5 linked regions of the Nothobranchius furzeri genome follow. The main gene of each other region encodes a partner of the protein of the gene in region 5 in a complex. Links are inferred from orthologs where the notes say so. Each region holds a gene or a part of one and is shown on either strand. Other genes may lie near its edges. The genes, in order: striatin, strn4, stk26, strn3 and strip2.

Region 1 (4,762 bases), on a different chromosome or scaffold from region 5:
CACATTTTAGTAGGTGAATGTATCACAATCAGACCTGATTTCTATTTAAAGAGCAAGTCACCCTAAATCAACTTTTCTTTGCTGATAAACTATATAAACAAGTGTCTAATGATGCTGTAGACACGTGCAGTCAATAAATTGGCTCTTTAGTGCATCTTAGTTAAAATTTAAATATTCTGCCTTAAACAGCAAGCCACCCCCAAATCAGCTGTTTTTTTTTACTGATAAACTGTATGAGTGTCTAATCATGCTGCAGACACGTGTTTTCAATAGTTTAGCACTTTAGTGCATCTTGGTTCAAATTTAAATATTCCGCCTAAAACTGTCAGTGTTGTGCCGTCGTCAGGTAAAAAACTGCACTGCATTTGAATTTAAATCTGGCACCACTATTGGCTAAGAGGTAAATTATGTTAGCTGGTACCTTATGATGTCACAACGTCTTGAGCCTGTGTGTGTATTTGTTAGCGACTCCACCCTCTCGGTCTGCTAGTCAACAGCATTTGTTGCATTTTTCAAACAGGAAGTGGAAGTGGAGTAATACGCTGGTAGGGGGTGACTTGCTCTTTAAAGAGCAAATGCTGTTGCCTAGCAGACCGAGAGGGCGGAGCTGCTAACAACACACACACACACACACACACACACACACAGAGGCTCACAACGACACAACGCTGACAGTTTTAGGCTGAAAATTAAAATTTTAACTAAAATGCTTAAGTGCAAAACTATTGACTACACGTCTGCAGCGCGATTAGACACGCATTTATATAGTTTCAGAAAAAATAAGTTGATTTGGGGGTGACTTACTCTTTAAGTGATCTGATTTAAAGCCCTCTGAATGCTGATGTTTGCTGTTTATTTATTTTCAATGAATTTGCATCAGCAGTCTGGCAATCAGTGTGTCTATGAATTACAATTGTTTGTGACCTTTCCACTGATCCATTGAGTGTTCTTGTGCTTATTTGAGAGTTCAGCATTTTCTTTTAGTTTTAACATTCCTCCTAGAAGCTGTCAAACAAAATGAGATTACTTCTGGGCTTTGTATTGAGCCAGCAATGAGATTTTTACTACTGCTAATGGAAGTATTGTAGTATTTGGGGGAAAACACGTCGTTTGTTGTATGTGCTGCCTAATATAATCACTCAAGGATGATTTTATTCCCCAACTCGGTGTCTTTTGCTAACAATCTTCTGTCCGTCTCAGCTGTAAACTCACCTTGGCAGGTAAATAAAAATGTAATATTTCACTCGTTTTTTGAGGGAGTTTAAATAAGTGTCCTTACTGTTATTTTTTCCATTTGGTAGGATTTTATTAAAGTATTTCCAGGCGCTAACATTTGGTTTTGAGTGAAGTTGAAACTGTTTGCTCCGGACGGTCCTGGTGAAGAAATCGAGCGTCTCTTAAATGTGGGCGTTGCTGCGTCTCTGACGTCGGTCGATGACAGCTAGCTGTCAGAAAGTGAGTTCATTCCCTGAGCAGCGGCGACGGAGTGCCGTCGATAGTTTTTTATTTTTATGATTTTTTACCCATCTGTTGGTATCGGGTACATCGAGGCAACGGAACGACCTATCCACCGAGCCCGGCCATGGACGAGCAGGCAGGGCCCGGGGTGTTCTTCAACAATAATAACTCTGTTTTAGCCGGCGGTGGGAAAGGACCTCTGCCCGATGGCGACGCTGGGGAGGCGGCTAGAGCGCAGTACAGCATCCCGGGGATCTTGCACTTCCTGCAGCACGAATGGGCCCGTTTCGAAGTTGAAAGGGCACAATGGGAGGTGGAGCGGGCCGAGCTGCAGGTGAAAATTGCCTCATATTTTAATTAACGCCCACAATCTTTTCTTTACCTGGGAATTGTGCTGCTTGTTTGTGGTGAAATCCCGCTGATTTTCTGTGTTTGATTGTTCTGGTCGTTAGCTTTAGCATTAGCAGCTAAAGGAGCTACAGCGCCCCTCTCACTCGGCTGTTAGCGATGTCTTTGCTTTCACGGAAACCACTAAATGAACCTCACACACTCCGTTATTGTAATACATGCTTTAGCGAGTGTTTGTTTTCACGGTTTTCTTGTGAAAATAACAATTAATAGCAATTATATGTATTACCAAAGTAGTTGGCGTAAAATATGTAGCATCGGAACGGACTCGGCTTTATATATTGGTACATGTGTAGCACCCTGCTAAGGTTTCTACTCTGTTTATATGTAAAACATGTAAAGTAAACAGGCATTAGCATCTGTTAATGCTCTGATCTCCTGTAAGCCGACAGACAGCTTTAAACAGACATCACATACCAAGAGTCTGGAGTCAGCATTGTTTATTAGCTAGCTGCCTTGTCACTGTCACTCCTGAGGAAAGGCATTCAAATGCGCTCTAATCTGTCCTTTCCCCTTGTTGTTTTGCTTTTTTCTGCTGGGTCTCACTGTATAGAAATTATATCTGGTTCCCAAAATTAGGTCAAACAATTTAGCTTTTATTCATAAGTCAGAATGAGTGGATCAGGTGGCAGTTTGAGGGTAAATTTAACTTGGAGATAAATCTTATTTATTGTTTTAGGTTTCCAGTCCACTTCTAACGTTAACACATGTTGCATCTTTTAATAGATTATACCACAATGTTTTAAAAGCATGAACTGCTCTCTGTAATGCATGGATTGATTTGTAGTTCGATTCCTTTTGTACGATGTTTCTCATCTATTTTGACCCAGTCGTGAGGTGGTATCACAATCGGATCAGTTTTACTCTGCAGGACAAACTGACCTCCGCTAACAGAAGAGACCAGAGGGAGGGAGTCATGGCATTGTTTGTACATTGATGACATACACCACGATCTGTCTGGCAGGCTTTTGACTCAGCCTCATGCAGCACTTTCAGTCTGCCTAGCAGATCATGCTTCCTTTCCTGTCTGCTGTCATGAATTGAGCTTATCAGCCAACAAGCTGCTGTGGCTGTGGCACAGCACAGGGTGGTTGGTTTACTGGGTGGTTTTATTTGTGGCGGCAATACGTGTGCGCGCTCATTTAGAGTTATTGTTTTGTTTAACAGGAAAATGATTTGTTTACAGGACACAAAATTGACCATAGTTGTAGTAAAATCGTTTTTTTACTGGCATCATTCTGCACACTTCATCAAGCGAACATCAGCGACTCTGTTCTCGCTTTTCCAGTGCTGCACGAAATGAGAGCAGACATGATTAATACTCTAAAACTTCCTTATGGGATGTAACCTTGTGCTGTCCTTGAGGTATTCTTGCATAAATATCACTTTTCCAGAGAAGCTGCTGGTGAAATAACACAAGGAAGGAAAGATCAAAAGCCATTTAAAAGAAACTTAATAGATCTCGATGAATAATGAAAGGCTTGAGCGCCATAATAGAAGATGTCAAGTAGCACTTTGACGTCGCTGACCTGCTGGAACATTCAGATTTTTGCGTTAAACTCAGTTTCAGATCTGCGTTTTAAAAGCCTTGGTCCGTCTTCTTGTTTGAAATAATTCTTGTATAAGTTGGGTGAAAGCCGTGCCTGGTGTTCATTGAGAGGAAGACACACCTGGTGCTTGTAAAAATAAAAATGCTGTCTAGCTAGCCTGTGAGATTGTTTAGGAGGCCACTCCTCTTTTCTGGGGTGTGTTCCATTTCTTGGTGGGTCATCACCACCTGGCATCCGTGAATGAATTTGGTTGATAAGCCAATTTTTTGTGTTACTGCTGATGTGAAAATAAATGTACAAGAGAAGAATTTAGTTATCAGATGATGGTAAATGGCCTGTATGTGATACAGCGCCTTCTACGGTTCTACAACCCCCCAAGGCACTTTGAAATACAATGCACACACATGCACTCTCTGGTGGTGATGAGCTTCATTGTTGCCACAGCTGCCCAAGGGTGCCCTGACCGATGCGAGGCTGCCAAGCACTGGCACCACAACGTCTTCTGACCAGCAGGCAGGGCAGGTTGAGCACCTTGCCAAAGTACACAGACACTGCGACAGATGGGGCTTGAACCAGCAACCCTCTCGTTAGGGGACGGGCACTTAACTACTATCACCCTAATTATCATTGAATTATTAATACTTTCAGAAAAGAAGCAAAGAAATAGTTAAAACAAACTCAAAACACATATTAGGTTTTAGCAGGTTTGCTGAAATTAGTGCTGCATGTTTTTTTATTAGCATAATTATTACTTTTTCATTAGAATTGAGATAATAAATGTTAATCGCCATTATTCATTGACTTTAATGAGAAAATGTTGAATTAGCTGCCCTAAAATGTTGCACTTCATTCGGATATGTGCAGCATTCTTGTCATTGAACACTGGAGCGACGTGGCAGAGGAGTTAAGTGCCCGATCCGTAACTGGAGGGTAGCAGGTTCACGCACCTCTCAGTCTGCTGTAGTCATCGTGTCCTTGGGCAAGACACCGGTGGTGGTCGGAGGGAGCGGTGGCGCCAGTTCTTGGCCGCCTTGTCTCCGTCGGTGCACACCAGTTCAACTGTGGCTGCACTGTAGTTCATCATCACCACTGTGTGAATCTGTGTGAGTGAGTGGGTGAGTGACTGGTTAGTTGTAAAGCACTTTGGGGGGTTGTAGATAGAACCCTAGAAAGTGCTATATAAACACATTCACCCACCAACTTTACTGCATTTCATAGACAAGCGGTTTTGTTATAAAAATTTTTTTTACCAGTGTTTAAGCTCATTTTTCATTAGATGATTCAAAAACTAAGACCCCTACAAAATAAATTATAGTCTTATTTTACTAGAATATTATATTTAATGT
Region 2 (4,246 bases), on a different chromosome or scaffold from region 5:
GTAGTTTAACATTTAGGCATTTAGGTCACAGGTTTCCAGACTTTTCCGCTTTTGTTCCAGCAGATATTATTTGATGAGATCCGTGGCCCAGATTAATGCAGGGGAACGTTGCTAATGAGCCATAAAACAAAAATTCTAGTCAACCATATTTTTATCCTTTTTAGCTACTGTTTTTATCTCTATTTAACAATTAAAGTATCTCTCCGGTAGTGTTTCTCTTATCTGATGGCACCATCTGGTGGCTGACAAGCATATCACACAAATAGTCACTCGATCCATTTTTTTAAGATGGCGACTTCATGTTTCTTGTTTCTGAATGTGCTTCTGTAGCCGACAAACAGAGCTAAAACACGCATTACAAGTATTATACTCATATCGTGTTGTGCTTTCATATATCTTAAACACTTGTTGGTGAAAAGTTCATCAACTCTGCATCAGCCGAGGTACTTCCTTAAATTTGAAGCACGTAAGCAGTACGCTATTGGTTAGTTCTGGTCGGCGCTCAGGTTCCTATTTCACGGAGCTCTGCGGGGCAGAGGGCGTTCTTATCAACAAAGACGTATTGCTTACATTACATCACAGTACATGATAAGACGATCACTTACGGATTTCTGAAAAATCATATATAACTTCTGAAAAGGGAAAACTCCGGAACCTTAAGTGTAAAAGTCACATTTAAATTTATGTTTATTTTGAGGAATCATCTCAGAACCAGGTCGACCGATACGGTTTCTCTATTGCTGATACCAATGCCGATATGTTGGAGGCATGGTCAGCCGATGTGCTTTTTGAACTCTGAATTTAACCAGCTGTTAAATCTTAACGTTGTGCACAGCTCATTGTTAATAATGGTAATTTAGAGTATTCATCATGCACATGTTACTAGTGAGCATAAAAATACATTTAAATTAAATGCTGCAACAGCACTGGGTTGTCCAAAGATGTGCCTGACTTTAAATCAGCTTTACTAAGGACAAATATCAGCTGTTGTATTAAAATCAGTAAATATCAGACCGATATATCGACTGGTCGATATATTGGTCTGCCCATAATGGCTACCCAATCCATTCATTTTCATTTGAATCAGGCCTTTTGAAGCAGAGGAACACTTGAATGTACCAAGGTCATTATCAAAATATAAAACATCCAAATTATATTAAATATAGTCAAGAAATCCTGTCCAGACTTGAGTCCAAAAAGGAAATTGTGGAGTAATTTAAAGGTTGCAGAGATGAGTGGGACGCTTTCCAAACTTGAATCCCCACTGATCAGATTCCAAAAAAAGAACATTCCCAGTGGAAATCTGTGAAGCTAGACGTTTTAATAAGCTGTTTGACCTTTGTAACGGCAAATGAAGAACTAATATTTTTATCATGGCATTTGTAGAGAAGTAAATCAGAAATACCTACATAGTCTTTACGGTCACTCTTCACTTCTTTGTGGCGTTTGCAACAAAAGGGATAAAAAATGAAAATGTTGTCTAAAGTATTGGGTTTTAGTTGGCCTATATGAGCCCATGTGGTAGGATCTGCACAATTTCCTTTTTAAAATAAGGATTAAGTGTATTCATAACCGTGTGTGTGTGTGTGTGTGTGTGTGTGTGTGTGTGTGTGTGTGTGTGCGTTACATACAGGCTCAGGTGGCATTCCTACAGAGTGAACGGAAAGGGCAGGAGAACATGAAACAGGACCTGGTGAGGCGGATCAAAATGCTGGAGTATGCCCTCAAACAGGAAAGGTTTGTTCTCATCACATTATTCCTGCAGCCTCTGATAAAATAGGACATGTATAGGACAAAGCTGATGTCGGCTGTTTTGGCCCCATCTAACAGTTGTGTACATTCTCCAGGTGCTGTGTTTAGTAAATAAAGCCTTGGATTGGCTTGTTGTCGGGTAATTTTCCCGATGGGATTTGTTTTGTGTCTCCAGGGCAAAGCACCAGAAACTGAAGACAGGAAATGACCAGAGTCCTGGAGAAAAGAAGCCAGAGATGGAGGCAGAGCAGCGTATGTTTTTCACTTGTTCTTGTCTACGAATGCTGCATCTTTTAGAGCCGAACGTGTTTTTTTTCCTACTCATGGCTTGTTGAACGTGTTTTCTGTAGTTCTCAATGGACCAGCTGAGACAGACTCTGAGCCAGCCAATCAGATGTCCTGGAAGGAGGGACGTCAGTTACTACGCAAGTGAGTTTGCCTGATAATTTCAAATCCACTGATGCTATATTATGCTTGTGTTTTATTATTGATTTTCCGTCTGTGGTTGCAGATATCTGGAGGAGGTCGGCTACTCAGATACCATCTTGGACATGCGCTCCAAACGTGTGCGCTCCCTGCTGGGTCGGAGCAGCCCGGAGACGAACGGGCCTCCGCCCGGCGACAGCTGTCAGGAGCCAGAGCCACGAGCAGCTGGAGAGTCCTTGCTGGTCCGGCAAATAGAGGAGCAAATCAAAAGGTGAGGCGTAAATACAGACGCTATCTTTGACGTTACGCCTCACGTACATGCTGCAGTGACGGCACAAACAGCTTCCACATTTTGCTGCACAAAACTCAAATTATTTGGGGGAAAAACAATCGGAAGAAAGGAGAGGAGGGCTAATTTTTCAAAACACTTAACCAGTCCAACCCAGTTCAAGTGGAGGGATGGAACTGGCTGCCAATAAACCTGAGTCACCTATTTACTGATGGTGTCAGGGCTAATAACAGTTACAGGATGAATCTGACAAGTCTAGTTTCTCCTCTAATGCTGCTGGGCGTAGTTCACAGTAAAAATAACAACAAAACAGGCTTCAGTAGACGGAGGCAAGGTTTTTAACTCAAAACTGAGATCAGAAAAAGTAAAAAAAAAATCCAGAGGTTTATAAAAACTAGAGAAACATTAAATGTAATCAGATTCATAGATTTGAGACATTGGACAAAGAAGTGGTTTTAGTATGTCAAAAATAGTGACAATACTTAAAAATTATTTTACAGCGGTGGATTACTCGTTTAAATAATACATTCGCAGTGGTCTCTGCTAGGAGCGAATGGCTTGTAAGTCATACTTTGAAGAAACAATTATACTGGTGCACCATTTCTAGGACCTCAGTTACCCACAGCTGAGCTTCAGACGGCAGGATTTGGAGTCTTATTTCCTGATATTTGGACATCTCGCCCTGGATTGGATAACAGCAACTCTACCACTGACTGTTTGCCCTCCAATGTTGATCTCTACAAATAATACAAGCCTGGAGAAGTTCTGCTGTGTGTTTGAGATGCTAATGCTAATGGTTAGCGTCTGCTAGTTGAGATGTCCTCTGCTGTTTCCTGGCTGTTAAACCAACAGCCTCCCCCGTCATGAGTCAAGATGGGTGAGTCCATGATTGTTAAGTGACCGTGTGATGTAGATCTGTCAGGTTTTTCTAATCCTAGAGTTTCACCGTCTATTTTCTATCGGAAGCTAATGCAGGAGACAGGAGTAGGAGACTATTTTCATGTTCAGCCTGCATGGAAAGCTCACAGTGACCAATTATATTCAGAAATATGTTCAAGTGTTTTCTAAATTCATTAATCAAAGTTTACAATTATAAAACATAAATTTATTTTAAAGAGCAAGTTCCCTGAGAAACCGATTTTTTATTTGTCGTTTTTTAAATATGATCAGTAACTCTCAGTTTAACGTACAGGAACTAAATTAGATGCTGAAAGAAAATAGACGTGGAAACATTGGGATTAGTAACGCCTGATAGATCTAAGTCACATTTAAAATTAGCGTTCGTGAACTCACCCATCTTGGCTTGTGGCAGGGAATGCTGTTGTTGGTCTAGTGCCCAGAAGAGAGTAGAAGCTAACCTTTACCATTAGCAACTCCATCACGCAGCACAACTCCTCCAGGCTTGTGTTATTTGTGGAGATAAACCATCAATGTTGCAGATCAAGTGGAGCGAGTGGTAGTCACATTACAGTTGGCCAATCAGAGGCAAGATATCCAAATATCAGGAAACAGGACAATACATCCTCACTTCCACTTCCTGAAAATTTTCCCACAGAGATCGACTCACAAGGCATTTAGTTATGTACTTGAAATCCAGCAGCAGAATGGTGAGAGACCCAGAAAAGGGTCCAGCTAGCATCAGAGCATAATCTAATAAATTAGACAGTTGCTTAATAATTAGGCAGACTAAAGGCTGGTTTGCTGCACAGAAGAACCCTTTTCACCCTTTAGTTTGATCAAATATTTATCTGCTGGGTGTGACATCTTGTGTGATGGGTT
Region 3 (4,246 bases), on a different chromosome or scaffold from region 5:
ATTCCAGCATTTTTTAACAGCGTCCTCGTCTTTTCCGACAGTGCGAGCTATTTCTCTCCAAGAATTATTAACAACATGTTGATCACGGTGATCTTTGAGAGCTGAATCATACAAATGTCTGTGTTTACGAACCTCTGCCGTAGTAGTTCTTGCCGGTCCGCCATGTTTTTCCGCGTCCGTCTGTCCGCGTGGTTAGAAATTTTCCGACGTGCGCATTGCGGAAATTCTGGGCCGTGCGGAGGCGCGGTGGAGGGGCGTGGTTGTTAAGATGACGCAAAATGACGCAACTTTTCCGCGCGGAGCGGTGCGGACCTCGCGGACGCGTCAAGCATAAACCAACCTAACGGGGCAAGACATTGTAGCACCATTGCTGGACTTTACTGGCTGATAAAATGCAACATAAAAGCTCAGGTTTGTCATCAGAGAACATCGTGTCTCAGATATTTTAGATGATACAAGATTAAGTGTGAGGACATTTAATTTTTTTTTACTAAACTGCAGCTACTTAGCATAAAACTCAACCTGAAGGTTGTTTTAGTGTTAAAAACTGTCTGCAGACAGACTGAATAGATAAATCCAGCTCGCTCACCAAATCCAGCGCTGAACCACCACCCAGATACTCCATGATGATCCATAGTTTACTGCCCTGAACAAGAAAACCATTTGTGTTAATAAGTTACAGCAAATGCAGCAAAAGGAAAACGATAAGCAGATGCTGGAAACCAGCAGCAGACACTAACTACGGCTGCTCTCTGTTAACTGTTTCACACACACCTTCGTCACCGACGAGACTCGGATCAGCCTGAACTATGTCTTTTCTCACCTTCAGGTAGGAGCCAAAGTATTTGGTGATGTATGGGCTGTCACACTGACTGAGCACGGTGATCTCCTGCTGGATGTCCTCGATCTCATCTTCCGCCTCCTCCAGGTCGATCGTCTTGATGGCGACAACACTCTGAGAGCGATTATCGATGCCTTTGAACACCTGTTGGAGGTAGATAAAAAGTTAGGATCAGGAAGGAATGGAATGTCTGAGACAAAACAAAGATGAAAATGGACCCACTTCTCCAAAAGACCCTTTTCCAATTCGATCCAGTTTGGTGAACAGCTCCTCTGGATCCACGTGAGAACTCTGAGGAGAGGAAACGGAAACATGTTGTCTTAAAAGTGTTTCCTTTGATGGAAAATTATTGTGATATAACACTAAATTAGTTTTTAGAGAAATGCCTTCAGGACAGTTATTAGCATCATAAGTAGGGCTGCTCGATTATGGCAAAAATAATAATCACGATTATGGTGACTGAAATTGAGATCTCGATTATTTAGGACGATTTTTCAATTTATGTTGATTTTATTTGTTTTTATTCCGTCATAAAATTGCTCAGGGCACAATCAGGACAAAAATAAATAAGAAACAAGATGATCACTAAAAGACATCACAATATACCTATAGACACATTACTAGTGTGTGTGTGTGTGTGTGTGTGCGTGCGTGCGTGCGTGCGTGCGTGCGGGCCTGCTTCGTCTTCTCAATCCCCAGTGAGTCGTGGAGGATGGCTGCTTATACTGAGCCAGGATTCTCTGGAGGTTTCTTCCTGTTAAAAGGGAGTTTTCCTCTCCACTGTCGCTTTATGCTTGCTTAGTATGAGGATTGCTGTATAGTCACTGACACTAGTCAGTGACTTGATGCAATTTGCTGGGTTCCTTATATAGGAAACATTATTTCTGATTGGTTTAATGAACTGTGAATTGGAATGTTTATTATGTGAAGTGCCTTGAGACGACTCTTGTCGTGATTTGGCGCTATATAAATAAACTTGAATTGAATTGAATTAAAATAACCCGATTCCCAGTATAAAAAAGACCAATACACTTATAGCTCATAGTTTATGACCCAAGGGCTATAGACCTTGGTTTCAGGGGTGTGTCCAGGGAGTGGTCTGGGGTAGCACATGCCACCCTTGGAATCTGATTGGCCACCCCAGGTACCACCACACTAATTTAACTTTAAATAGGCTTTTCATTGTCCACAAAAGGCTTGGGGGTAAAACAAAAAGAAAAGCATAACCATTGGTGCCACCCATGCACAAAGTTGTGCCTCACCTGGGCCACCCCATTCTAAAAGATCTGGACACGCCACTGCTTGGTTTAACTCATTTAAGTCTAACCAGTACAGACCCAAATACCAATATCTTGCAAATACTGACAGCAAGAATTATGCAGTGGCATTTATAACAAATACATGCAAATAAAGTGATGTTCACAAAATGTTGCATAACATTTAATGAGTCGTGTCAAGGTGCTGTAGGAGAGTGCACTAGCACCGTGTCCTCAGAGAGGTTAGTTATTATTTATCAGCGTGAGGAACTTATTTATACCTTATTCATGAACTATTTATTTACAGATCCGTCAGTTAATGTAATAATTGTCCCAACCACAGCTGTGGGAGGAGCGCTTCATTTGCAACTCGGGCAGCGCAAGTGGGAGGAGCAAATAATCGGCTTGTTTTGTTTTTATAATCGTTCAAAACTCAGATGGTAATTGGGATTAAAATTCGATTAATTGAGCAGCCCAAAAATAATTATTATGTATTTTATATGTCGTTATTCTGTCTAAGTCACAAATGTTATATTTATTTATTTATTTTAAATTTGCTCTTCCTCCTCCCTCTCTGCTGTGCTTCAGCTCTGCATGTTGATCAGCGATCCTAGAGGGGCTTCCTTCTCTTTAGGGCACCAAATTTAAGTTAGGGATGTCCCGTTCCGATATCGATGTCGAAAGTAATTTGATATTGGCCCAAAAACAGTGTATCGGATTATATCGGACTGCATCAAAAATCTCTGATATAAGCAGTCCATTAAGGTTCACATTTTTTCAACCAATGGTTGCTGGTTCCCAAAGTCAGAGACTCTCTTGCTCAGCTTGCTTCTCACACCAAACCCTCTGTCAGGAATCTTGGTGTGACCTTTGACCCAGCTCTCATCCTGGATTCTCATGTCAGTTCTCTTGTTCGCTCTTCCTTCTTCCATCTCAGGAACGTTGCTAAGCTGAGTCCCATTCTGTCCCGCTCTGAACTTGAGACAGTTCTCCACACCTTCATCTCCTCACGCTTAGACTACTGTAACTCTCTTTTCACGTGTCTGAGCAGAACCTCCCTGAACCGTCTGCAGGTGGTTCAGAATGCCTGTGCTCGGCTTCTGACCAAGTCCTCCAAACACACCCACATCACCCCACTTCTCCTCCAGCTTCACTGGCTGCCGGTCAACTTCAGGGTTCATTTCAAGATCCTGGTTCTGGTCTATAGGGCCTTACATGGACAAGCACCATCTTACATTGGCGATCTTCTTAGTCCCTACACCCCCAGCAGGTCCCTGAGGTCCAGTGATCAAAGCCTACTGGTTAGGCAGCACCAGGCTAAAGACCAAAGGTGACAGATCATTTGTTGCTGTAGCCCCCAGACTCTGGAACTCTCTCTTCCTGAGCCTGAGATCAGTGGACTCAGTGGTCTCCTTTAAAAAGCAGCTGAAGACTCACTTGTTCCGGATGGCTTTTGTGACCTTCATCACCACTCTCTATTCTGCTCTTATTCCGCCTTTTCTGGGATCCACCTATTTCCCTCTTTCCTATGAATTTTCTCTCTCCTTTTCCTTACATATTTTTTAATCACAATTGAAAAATTTTCTCATTGTTAACATATTTTTAATAATATTTAGAAATATTTTGTGTACATTTGTATACATTTGGGAAGTGCCTAATGACCATCATCTTGAGATGCTCTGTATAAAAGATTGTTTTCTTTTGCCACAGCTGTCGGCATGACAGACACATCAATGAACCAATCAGAACAAGTTGTAGGCAGTGTGCTGTTTTGTTTAGCTGGGGGTGCTCAGTGAAGCTGAGGAAAATAATGAAATAATCGATGCATGAAGATGCGGACATAAACGATTATGAATCTTTGCCAAAGCAACCATACTCACTTATAGCGGATAGCTGCTAGCACTAGCTACTAGCTTGCGTAGTCTTTAAGCAGTCATTACATGTATTCTCACATGACTGCTCAATCAGGAAACCTCGCAGTAAATGTTCTACTCTAAACTTTGCATTTGGCTTCGTGGATTTTATTATTTGGGGACGTTCGTTCGTGTTTTAGTTTTGTTTATCCTGCTTGTGTAGAAAGACTGGCCAAACCCCACCCCCACACAGTCAGGGAATGTCTATGGATATAATTACTGATAATATTGTGGAT
Region 4 (4,246 bases), on a different chromosome or scaffold from region 5:
AGGCCACCCAGATATGTAAACAACCTACGCTACCCGGCCCGGGCCGACCCGGTACAGATGGTAATGGCACAATTTTTGAGAAAAAAAATCCATCTTCCAGTAAAAGCAAAGCATCCAGCCCACCTCTCCAAATGCGTAAAATGTGCATCACAGCCGCTAGGCGCGCTGCGCGCACCGTCAGCTACGTCAGCCCAGACAAGAGCAGAGCAAATAGAGAAATAATAGAGGATAATTGTGTCTGGATGTGGATGGAGATTACATTTTACAGCAGCCTGATCATCATTTAAATACGTAAACCATCACCTGTCCTCTAGTCCACGCTATCAGCATTATTTTAATTTGTGTGTGTGTGTGTGTGTGTGTGTGTGTGTGTGTGTGTGTGTGTGTGCGTGCGTGCGTGCGTGCGTGCGTGTGTGTGTGTGTGTTTTCCACATCAAACACTGGTCTAATCAACCAGACCAGCATGTCCAGTAACATATTAATGTTACAATTAAACAGTTTCACTTCATGTAGGCTAGGAACATTTCACCTGCCGTGGCCCGACCGCTTCTGCTCCACATAAACTTTGTGCGTGATCAAATGTCTCTACGCGTCATGCGTCTCCATATTAGACACGGGAACAAGCGCTGTTCAGCCTAAGTTTCATAATTTCATAAAAAGAACATTTTTCCAAGTGACACATCCCTCAGAGAGACCGGGTTTCCAGACCGCTTCAGTGGGAGGAAATCTTACCGCATGCGCCGTGGTTCTGCACTGCGCTGCAAACCCCTCTACAGATCTTCAGCTCACTGTCCACCGTGGGCGCTCCGAGCCGCGCTGAGCACAGTGTCCAGTATAAAGCTCTGATGTTCTGATGGGAATCATTTCTTGATTGATTTAGTTACCTCCGCGATGTGCGTAACGATTAAAATGTCAGCTCATCTGTGTGTGCATCAGTGTGCGTCGGGGTAATTCTTTCAAAACAACCAACATCCTTGAGTTTATCTGTCAAAATAAACAGTCAAATGGAAATATCTGTAACCTGCCATTTTACTGTTTTGCCTTCTTGTGAAGATTGTTGCAAAGAGAAACAACTAAACTTGATTAACCCCAGAGCCATGCACACTGCACTGTACTGACTGTAAAATGAGGGGGAAACGATTTAATTGGATCCTTTTCTCTTCAACATGGTTTAATGTAAAGTTTCATTCAGTACAACCTTTAGTTATACCAATCTAACGAGACAGAGCCTTTATTTGTATTCTGAACAGTTTAAACATGTTTAAAACGGAGACATGCGTGACACGTCTAAAATTCGCACCTGCTCCGCTGTTATGGAAATTAAGCTAACAAGATGAATAACATGAAATTATTTTGGGCACAGACAACATCCCCCACACTTTTGAAAAGCTTGAATGTGCCTGTCTGCCCCCACTGTTGATGGGTTGAATCTAGGGCTGGGAGATGTGGCTTCAAATCAGTATCACAGCATGATGAGCAGTTCACATTAAAAACGATGAATGGACGATAATTACCCGTATGCGCAAATACAAAAGTTGTCCACTAGATGGGGCTGTGGCAACATAATCGCTCCACAGCTGGTTTTATTGATGGTAATATTCCCCCACATCTATTCATAGTATGAATAGATGTGGGGGAATAATCAATATTTACTATGAATTTCATAGTAATTATTAATTAATTGCTACTTAAAAATAATGCGCAACTAAGTACTTAAGTAATTTGAGTTGTCAGGTAGTCAGGTTCTCTATAGAGTGGTTGTACTGAATGTTACGTCCTTTATTGGACAAAGCTGATCTTGTCATCTTGCTAACCAGGCTTAAACAATGGGTAGGGATCTCAGGGATTGCTCTGGAGTGGCAGGGGTCTTATCTAACTAGGATGTTGTATGAAGATTGGTAAAGCTCCATCTTACCTCATCTGAGGAGTGCCGCAAGGTTCCATCCTCAGACCCCTTTTATTTACCCTTTACCTGCTTGACATTTCAGAAGTATAAGCTGAGTTTTCATCTACATGCTGACTGTTGTTAAAGCTATTGCCCCATGAAACTGGGATAAAATGGTGCTTTTAAGATTATCCTGGCATGTCTGGAGGAGGTAAATATTTGGCTGGCTTACAGTTTTCTGAGTTTAATGAAAATAAAACAGAGGCCATTGTCTTGCTGCTGTTTTTACAGATTAAACTAAAGACACAGGAACAGACTGTGTTGCTACTTAGGAACCAAAAGACACAATTTTATATACAAATCTGCATCATCCCTTGAGCTATGTGGCCTTTGAAAGACTTCCAGAAGGTCTGAAGAAATGAAGATGGACCTGTTGCCAATCTAGATGGAGTAATGATGTAGTTTTCTTCTGAGACATGGGTTGGGCCTCCATAGAGGGTCACGAATAACGGGTGGGGACCGGAGAAGATCTCCAGAAATCTAAAACATCAAATCATTATTCCTAAAAGCATATTTGTTTAGAAATCTGAAGTTCCCATAATATTCAGGGTTTTGGTAAAGTTCAACCAGTGGTTTTTGGGCTTTCAGGTTGTGGAATGGTGCAAACACATTGAATAGAATAGGATAGACTATTGATCCCACAGAGGGGAAATTCTCTTGTTACTGCAGTATAAACACTTAAGAGAATACTATGAAGAAAAATAATAACAAAGGTACATGTATACACACATAGGCAGTAAGCTAGTATTGTAACCTTCAACCACTAAAAACCACAAATAAAAATGAAAAACTTGGTTCCAGAACCATGCAGCATACTGTAAGGGATGCAGACATACTAAGTTCATCTGGTTTTGCACAAGTATTGAACACATACTGAGTATTGCATTGATGCTTTTGTGTACCAGGATAATACCAGTACAGCTTAAACTGAGGAGTTCTACACTCTTACTGCAGAGGGGATGAATGACCCACAGAAGCGTTCTGTTTTACATCTGGGATGTCTCAGTCTATCTCTGAAGGAGCTGTCCATGGTCTCCAGAGTGGACGTGTGTGTGAACCACATGTGTGTTTGTGTGCAGAATTCCAACTGACAACTTGGAGACGTTCAACTTCTTGGAGAACACAGAGGACAGTGATGAAGATGATGATGAGGAGGGAGACCTAATGGACGACATCACTACGGACAAACACCATCGAGCTAAAAAACATAAAATAAATGTATGTGAAGAGAAACTGTGACTTAGCACCATTTCCCTCCTGTACTCCATTCTCCTGGAACTTTTTTTTCTGCTCTCATGGTCGACCAGGTAGGAAACGAGGGCTTAGCAACAGAGGATGACGCAGACACGGAGGAAGCTTTGAAGGAGTTTGATTTCTTGGTGACGGCAGAGGATGGAGAGGGGGCGGGGGAAGCCCGCAGCTCTGGTGATGGGACAGAGTGGGGTGAGATAGTCATCACACGTTAGCCAGCCAATGATCAAATGCAGAAATAAAACATGACGCATGTCTGAATGTTGGTGTCTGGACGTTTTGGACACAAGTGAATTTATCTGAGTCTCTCTGCAGCAGAGCCTCTACCCTTTTCCACTGCTGGGGGAAAGTCCTTCTTACTGGGGGGGTCTGATGATGTTCTGGAAAGCGTGCTGGGTTTGGGGGACCTTGCTGACCTCACCGTCGCCAACGATGAGGTGGACTTTGGCTACGATGTGAGGAAATGAAACTCAGTGGAACTCTGTCTGAATTCCTGATAAATGAGCTCACTCTGGTTTTGTCCTCAGCTCTCCTCCAGTAAAGAGTCTTCCTTCAGGAAGACCTGGAACCCCAAGTACACGTTACGGAGCCACTTTGATGGGGTCCGAGGGTTGGCGTTCCACCCTGTGGAGCCCTGCCTGGTCACAGTGTCTGAAGACCACACGCTCAAACTGTGGAACCTCACCAAGACCGTCCCAGCCAAAAAGTATGTGTTCTGATTTCTGGGCCCTCACTGGGTACAGGAGCTGCATCAGCTCAGGGTGTTGGTGGCTTTTAGTCGTTCCTGTGATCTTCTCTCACCTACACGACGTCGTCAGACACAGGTCCTCTGAGCTCACCAGGGACACTTCAGCTTTCTTTTACTCAGAAAAAAACTACAAATGAAAAACACAATGAGACACTAGGAACCAGGTGAGAACATTCAGACTGCTGATTCGTTAGATATTCCAGGGGCGTGGCTTCCAGACATATATACAGTTAGCAGGTTGTGTGTTATGATCAGATAAGGAGTTTGTAAAATGCTCGGAAGCTTTCAGGATTGATGTTTAT
Region 5 (4,246 bases):
CAGCAGACAGGTACCGGATAGCCAAGCGGGGTGCAGCAGTGGCAGTTGCCGAGGCAAAATCTCGGGCGTGGGAGGAGTTTGGTGAGGCCATGGAGAAAGACTATCGATCGGCTCCAAAGAGGTTCTGGCAAACTGTCCGGCGCCTCAGGAGAGGAAGGCAGCAACTCGCTCACACTGTTTACAGTGGGGATGGGGAGCTGCTGACGTCAACTGAGGCTATAGTCGGACGGTGGAAGGAATACTTTGAGGAGCTCCTCAATCCCACCAATGCGCATTCCGAGGAGGAACCAGAGCTGGGAGGCCTGGGGATGGACTGTCCGATCTCGGGGGCAGAAGTTGCTGAGGTAGTCAAACAACTACACAGCGGCGGAGCCCCGGGGGCGGATGAGGTTCGTCCTGGGTATCTCAAGGCTATGGATGTTGTAGGGCTGTCATGGTTGACACGTCTCTACAACATTGCGTGGTCATCGGGGGCAGTTCCTAGGGAGTGGCAGACCGGGGTGGTGGTCCCCATCTTTAAGAAGGGTGACCTGAGGGTGTGTTCCAACTATAGGGGGATCACACTCCTCAGCCTCCCTGGAAAGGTCTACTCCAAGGTACTGGAGAGGAGGGTCCGATCGATAGTTGAATCTCAGATAGAGGAGGAGCAATGTGGTTTTCGTCCTGGCCGTGGAACTGTGGACCAGCTCTATACCCTTGCAAGGGTGATGGAGGGGGCATGGGAGTTTGCCCAACCAATCCACATGTGCTTTGTGGATTTGGAGAAGGCTTATGACCGTGTCCCCAGGGGCACCCTGTGGGGGACGCTCCAGGAGTATGGGGTGGGTGGCTTTCTGTTAAGGGCCATTCAGTCCCTTTACCAGAGGAGCGTGAGTTTGGTCCGCATAGCCGGTAGTAAGTCGGACCTGTTCCCAGTGAGGGTTGGACTCCGCCAGGGCTGCCCTTTGTCACCGGTTCTGTTCATCACTTTTATGGACAGAATTTCTAGACGCAGCCGTGGTGTGGAGTGTGTCGAGTTTGGTGGCAGGAGAATCTCGTCTCTGCTTTTTGCGGATGATGTGGTTCTCCTAGCTTCATCCAGCTCTGACCTTCAGCTCTTGCTGGGTAGGTTCGCGGCCGAATGTGAAGCGGCTGGGATGAGGATCAGCACCTCCAAATCTGAGACCATGGTTCTCGACCGGAAAAGGGTGGCTTGCCACCTCCGGGTCGGGGGAGAGGTCCTACCTCAAGTGGAGGAGTTTAAGTATCTCGGGGTCTTGTTCACGAGTGAGGGTAGGAGGGATCGGGAGATCGACAGGTGGATTGGTTCGGCGTCTGCAGTGATGCGGACGCTGAGCCGATCTGTCGTGGGGAAGAGGGAGCTGAGCCAGAAAGCCAGGCTCTCGATTTACCGGTCGATCTACGTCCCAATCCTCACCTATGGGCATGAGCTTTGGGTAATGACCGAAAGAACGAGATCGCGGATACAAGCGGCCGAAATGAGTTTCCTCCGTAGGGTGGCCGGGCTCAGCCTTAGAGATAGGGTGAGGAGCTCGGACATTCGGGAGGGACTCGGAGTAGAACCGCTGCTCCTCCGGATCGAAAGGAGCCAGTTGAGGTGGTTTGGGCATCTGGTCAGGATGCCTCCTGGACGCCTCCCCGGGGAGGTGTTTCGGGCATGTCCTGCCGGCAGAAGGCCCCCGGGTCGACCCAGGACACGTTGGAGAGGTTACATCTCCAATCTGGTCCGGGAACGCCTTGGGGTCCTGCCGGAGGAGCTGGTGGACAAGGCCGGGGAGAGGACGGCCTGGAGCTCCCTAATTGGGATGCTGCCCCCGCGACCCGGACCCGGATAAGCGGAGGAAGACGACGACGACGACGACGACGAATTGCCTATTTTTGCTCATTTTAAATATATTTTTAAACATTTTCTAAATGCTTTTTTTATATTTTTACTTTCTTTGTTTTGTTTTTGTGAAGTGCCTCGTGATTTTTTATCTTGAGAGGCGCTATAGAAATGATATTTTCTTCTTCTTCTTCTTCTTCTTCAGTTCTTGCGATGTCTGGTATGAATCGATTTCTTGAGGTCTTTGGATCATTGTCCTGTTGCATCGTCCCATCTTCTGTTGAGCTTCAGCTGGTGGACAAAAAGCCTTAAGTTCTCCTGCAAAATGTCCTGGTGCAGCAAAGCAACCCCGAACCATGATGCCCCCACCACCATACTTCAGTTGTGATAATGTTTTGGTGTTTGTGTGGTGTGCCTCTTTTTCTCCACACACCCCAAACAACTCAAGTTTGGTTTCATCTGTCCACAAAATGTTTTGCCAGTACTGCTGTGGAAGATCCAGGTGCTCTTTTGCAAACTTTAAATGTGCAGCAGTGGCTTCCTCTGTGGTGTCCTCCCATGAACTCTGTTCTTGTTTAGAGTCTCACTTACAGTATATTCGCCAACAGGGATGTTCGCATATGCCAGAGATATTTTCTAAGTCTTTAGCTGACACTAGGATTCCTCTTCACCTCACTTCTGCAGTCAGGACGGCCCCTTCTACAGGGAAGAGTAGCAACAGTGCTGAACTTTCTCCACTCATAAACAATTTCTGTTACGGTGGACTGATGAACATCAAGGCATTTTGGAGATACATTTATAACCCTTTCCAGTTTTATGCAAGTTAACAACTCTTAATCATTGGTCTTTTGAGAGCTTCTTTTGTGCGTGGCATCAGGCAGTGCTTCTGGACAAAAGCAGGTGTGTGTTCTTTATTGGTCAGGGCAGCTTTAATCAAGACTTCTAATCTCATCACACTGATTGGACTCCTGTTGGCTGACACCTGACACCACTTAGCTCTTGGAGATGTCATTTGTCTAGGGTTGTCATACTTCTCCCACATGCACTGTGAATGTGTACTTGGTGTGTTCCATAAAAACATGGAAACGTATAACTGTTCGTGCGTTAGTTTAAGCAGACTGTGACTGTCTAGTGCTGTGACCTAAATGAAGATCAGGTCACATTTTATGACCAGTTTGTGCAGAAATGTATTTAATCCCAAAGGGTTCACATACTTTTTCTTGCTTCTTCTTCCTCAAATCTCTGATCATGCTTGTGTTCTAGTTTACGTTGGGGGGGTTTGAGGAGCTGCAGGAGATGAAGGTGCGTGGCCGAGAGCGTCTCTGCCTGACCCCCCTCCCAGAGGACAGTATCAAGGTGGTCAGAGCCATGAGAGCAGCCTCGCCTCCCGCCTCAGCCATGGAGCTGATCGAGCAGCAGCAGCAGCAGCAGAAGAGAGGCCGTCGCAGCCGCAGGGTACAACACACACACACACACACACATTTAGAACATGTTGGGTTTGATTGTGAACATTTCCGCTCATACACAACAACGTATGAGAGCCTGAGCAGTTTTCTCCTGAATCTTCCGTTGACGCGCTGATAAACATGAAAGCTTTGCCCGTTCAGACGGGGAAGCTTGGTGCTACGTTGATTTACTGTTGTGTTTCATCATGCAAATAAAACACGAGTAGGATGATGACGGATCAAAAAGAACACAAAGCCAAACACTGAAAGTCCAATCAGACCAGCAGTTAGGACCACATTTGGGTGTAAGCGCATTTTTATTTGTGGCTAAATGAAAAAACTTTCTAAAATCACTTCATTAGCGATGTGAATTGTTTGAAAATCAAACTTATACATCTCGACAAGTAATCATCAGAGGATTTCTAATTATTTCTAACAATGACTAGAAAATACAAAAAATATATGTAACACTCGCTTTTCTGTGACAGGTCATGAAAAATCAATGACTTTGTTGTCTTCACTCTGGTAAACAGTTTCATGCATTGTTCTCTTTGTAGGTCAAAGCTGTACGATGCTGTGTCCTCCTGAGGTCCTCATAAAGCTTTATCCCAGAGATTGTCCACAGATCACAGATGCTGATAATAAAAGCTACTTAAATTGAAATTTGAAGGTGAACATTTAGTCTAGGGTTAGGGTTAGAGAAGGAAATCTGTCAGTAAGAGAAACCCTCTGCAAGATCAGAATAAATATTTGTTTTATAGCAAATGAACGTGTTTTCAGTGTTATTTAAATCTGAGCCAACAGGGCTGAGTGCTTTTCTAAGAGAAGAAATCTAACGATGCAAAGCGTGAAGTCAGCTAATAACCAGCGTGATGCAAAGAAGGAGATTATTGCACTAAAGGAGTGACCGCTGCTGATCAAAACCACATTTCTTGTTACTAAGAGAAGGTCAATAACATTTAGGCATATTAGATGT

Evidence for each region.
Region 1: strip2 (region 5) and striatin share a complex: the UniProt entries of both Homo sapiens proteins name them as parts of the core of STRIPAK complex. The link is inferred for Nothobranchius furzeri from reciprocal best matches to the Homo sapiens genes STRIP2 and STRN.
Region 2: strip2 (region 5) and strn4 share a complex: the UniProt entries of both Homo sapiens proteins name them as parts of the core of STRIPAK complex. The link is inferred for Nothobranchius furzeri from reciprocal best matches to the Homo sapiens genes STRIP2 and STRN4.
Region 3: strip2 (region 5) and stk26 share a complex: the UniProt entries of both Homo sapiens proteins name them as parts of the core of STRIPAK complex. The link is inferred for Nothobranchius furzeri from reciprocal best matches to the Homo sapiens genes STRIP2 and STK26.
Region 4: strip2 (region 5) and strn3 share a complex: the UniProt entries of both Homo sapiens proteins name them as parts of the core of STRIPAK complex. The link is inferred for Nothobranchius furzeri from reciprocal best matches to the Homo sapiens genes STRIP2 and STRN3.

The regions. Positions count from the first base shown.
Region 1 is NC_091752.1:1,718,099-1,722,860, reverse strand, and holds the start of striatin, read left to right. Parts: upstream 1-1,366; 5' UTR 1,367-1,582; coding exon 1,583-1,792; intron 1,793-4,762. UniProt on the Homo sapiens protein: Calmodulin-binding scaffolding protein which is the center of the striatin-interacting phosphatase and kinase (STRIPAK) complexes.
Region 2 is NC_091753.1:40,954,155-40,958,400, reverse strand, and holds part of strn4 (striatin-4), read left to right. Parts: intron 1-1,633; coding exon 1,634-1,737; intron 1,738-1,927; coding exon 1,928-2,004; intron 2,005-2,102; coding exon 2,103-2,181; intron 2,182-2,263; coding exon 2,264-2,449; intron 2,450-4,246. UniProt on the Homo sapiens protein: Calmodulin-binding scaffolding protein which is the center of the striatin-interacting phosphatase and kinase (STRIPAK) complexes.
Region 3 is NC_091742.1:86,837,780-86,842,025, reverse strand, and holds part of stk26 (serine/threonine-protein kinase 26), read right to left. Parts: intron 1,133-4,246; coding exon 1,064-1,132; intron 986-1,063; coding exon 824-985; intron 647-823; coding exon 590-646; intron 1-589. UniProt on the Homo sapiens protein: Serine/threonine-protein kinase that acts as a mediator of cell growth. Modulates apoptosis. In association with STK24 negatively regulates Golgi reorientation in polarized cell migration upon RHO activation.
Region 4 is NC_091758.1:17,987,826-17,992,071, forward strand, and holds part of strn3 (striatin-3), read left to right. Parts: intron 1-3,024; coding exon 3,025-3,163; intron 3,164-3,252; coding exon 3,253-3,388; intron 3,389-3,511; coding exon 3,512-3,651; intron 3,652-3,723; coding exon 3,724-3,902; intron 3,903-4,246. UniProt on the Homo sapiens protein: Calmodulin-binding scaffolding protein which is the center of the striatin-interacting phosphatase and kinase (STRIPAK) complexes.
Region 5 is NC_091741.1:53,354,289-53,358,534, reverse strand, and holds part of strip2 (striatin-interacting protein 1 homolog), read left to right. Parts: intron 1-3,088; coding exon 3,089-3,280; intron 3,281-4,246. UniProt on the Homo sapiens protein: Plays a role in the regulation of cell morphology and cytoskeletal organization. Required in the control of cell shape. Calmodulin-binding scaffolding protein which is the center of the striatin-interacting phosphatase and kinase (STRIPAK) complexes.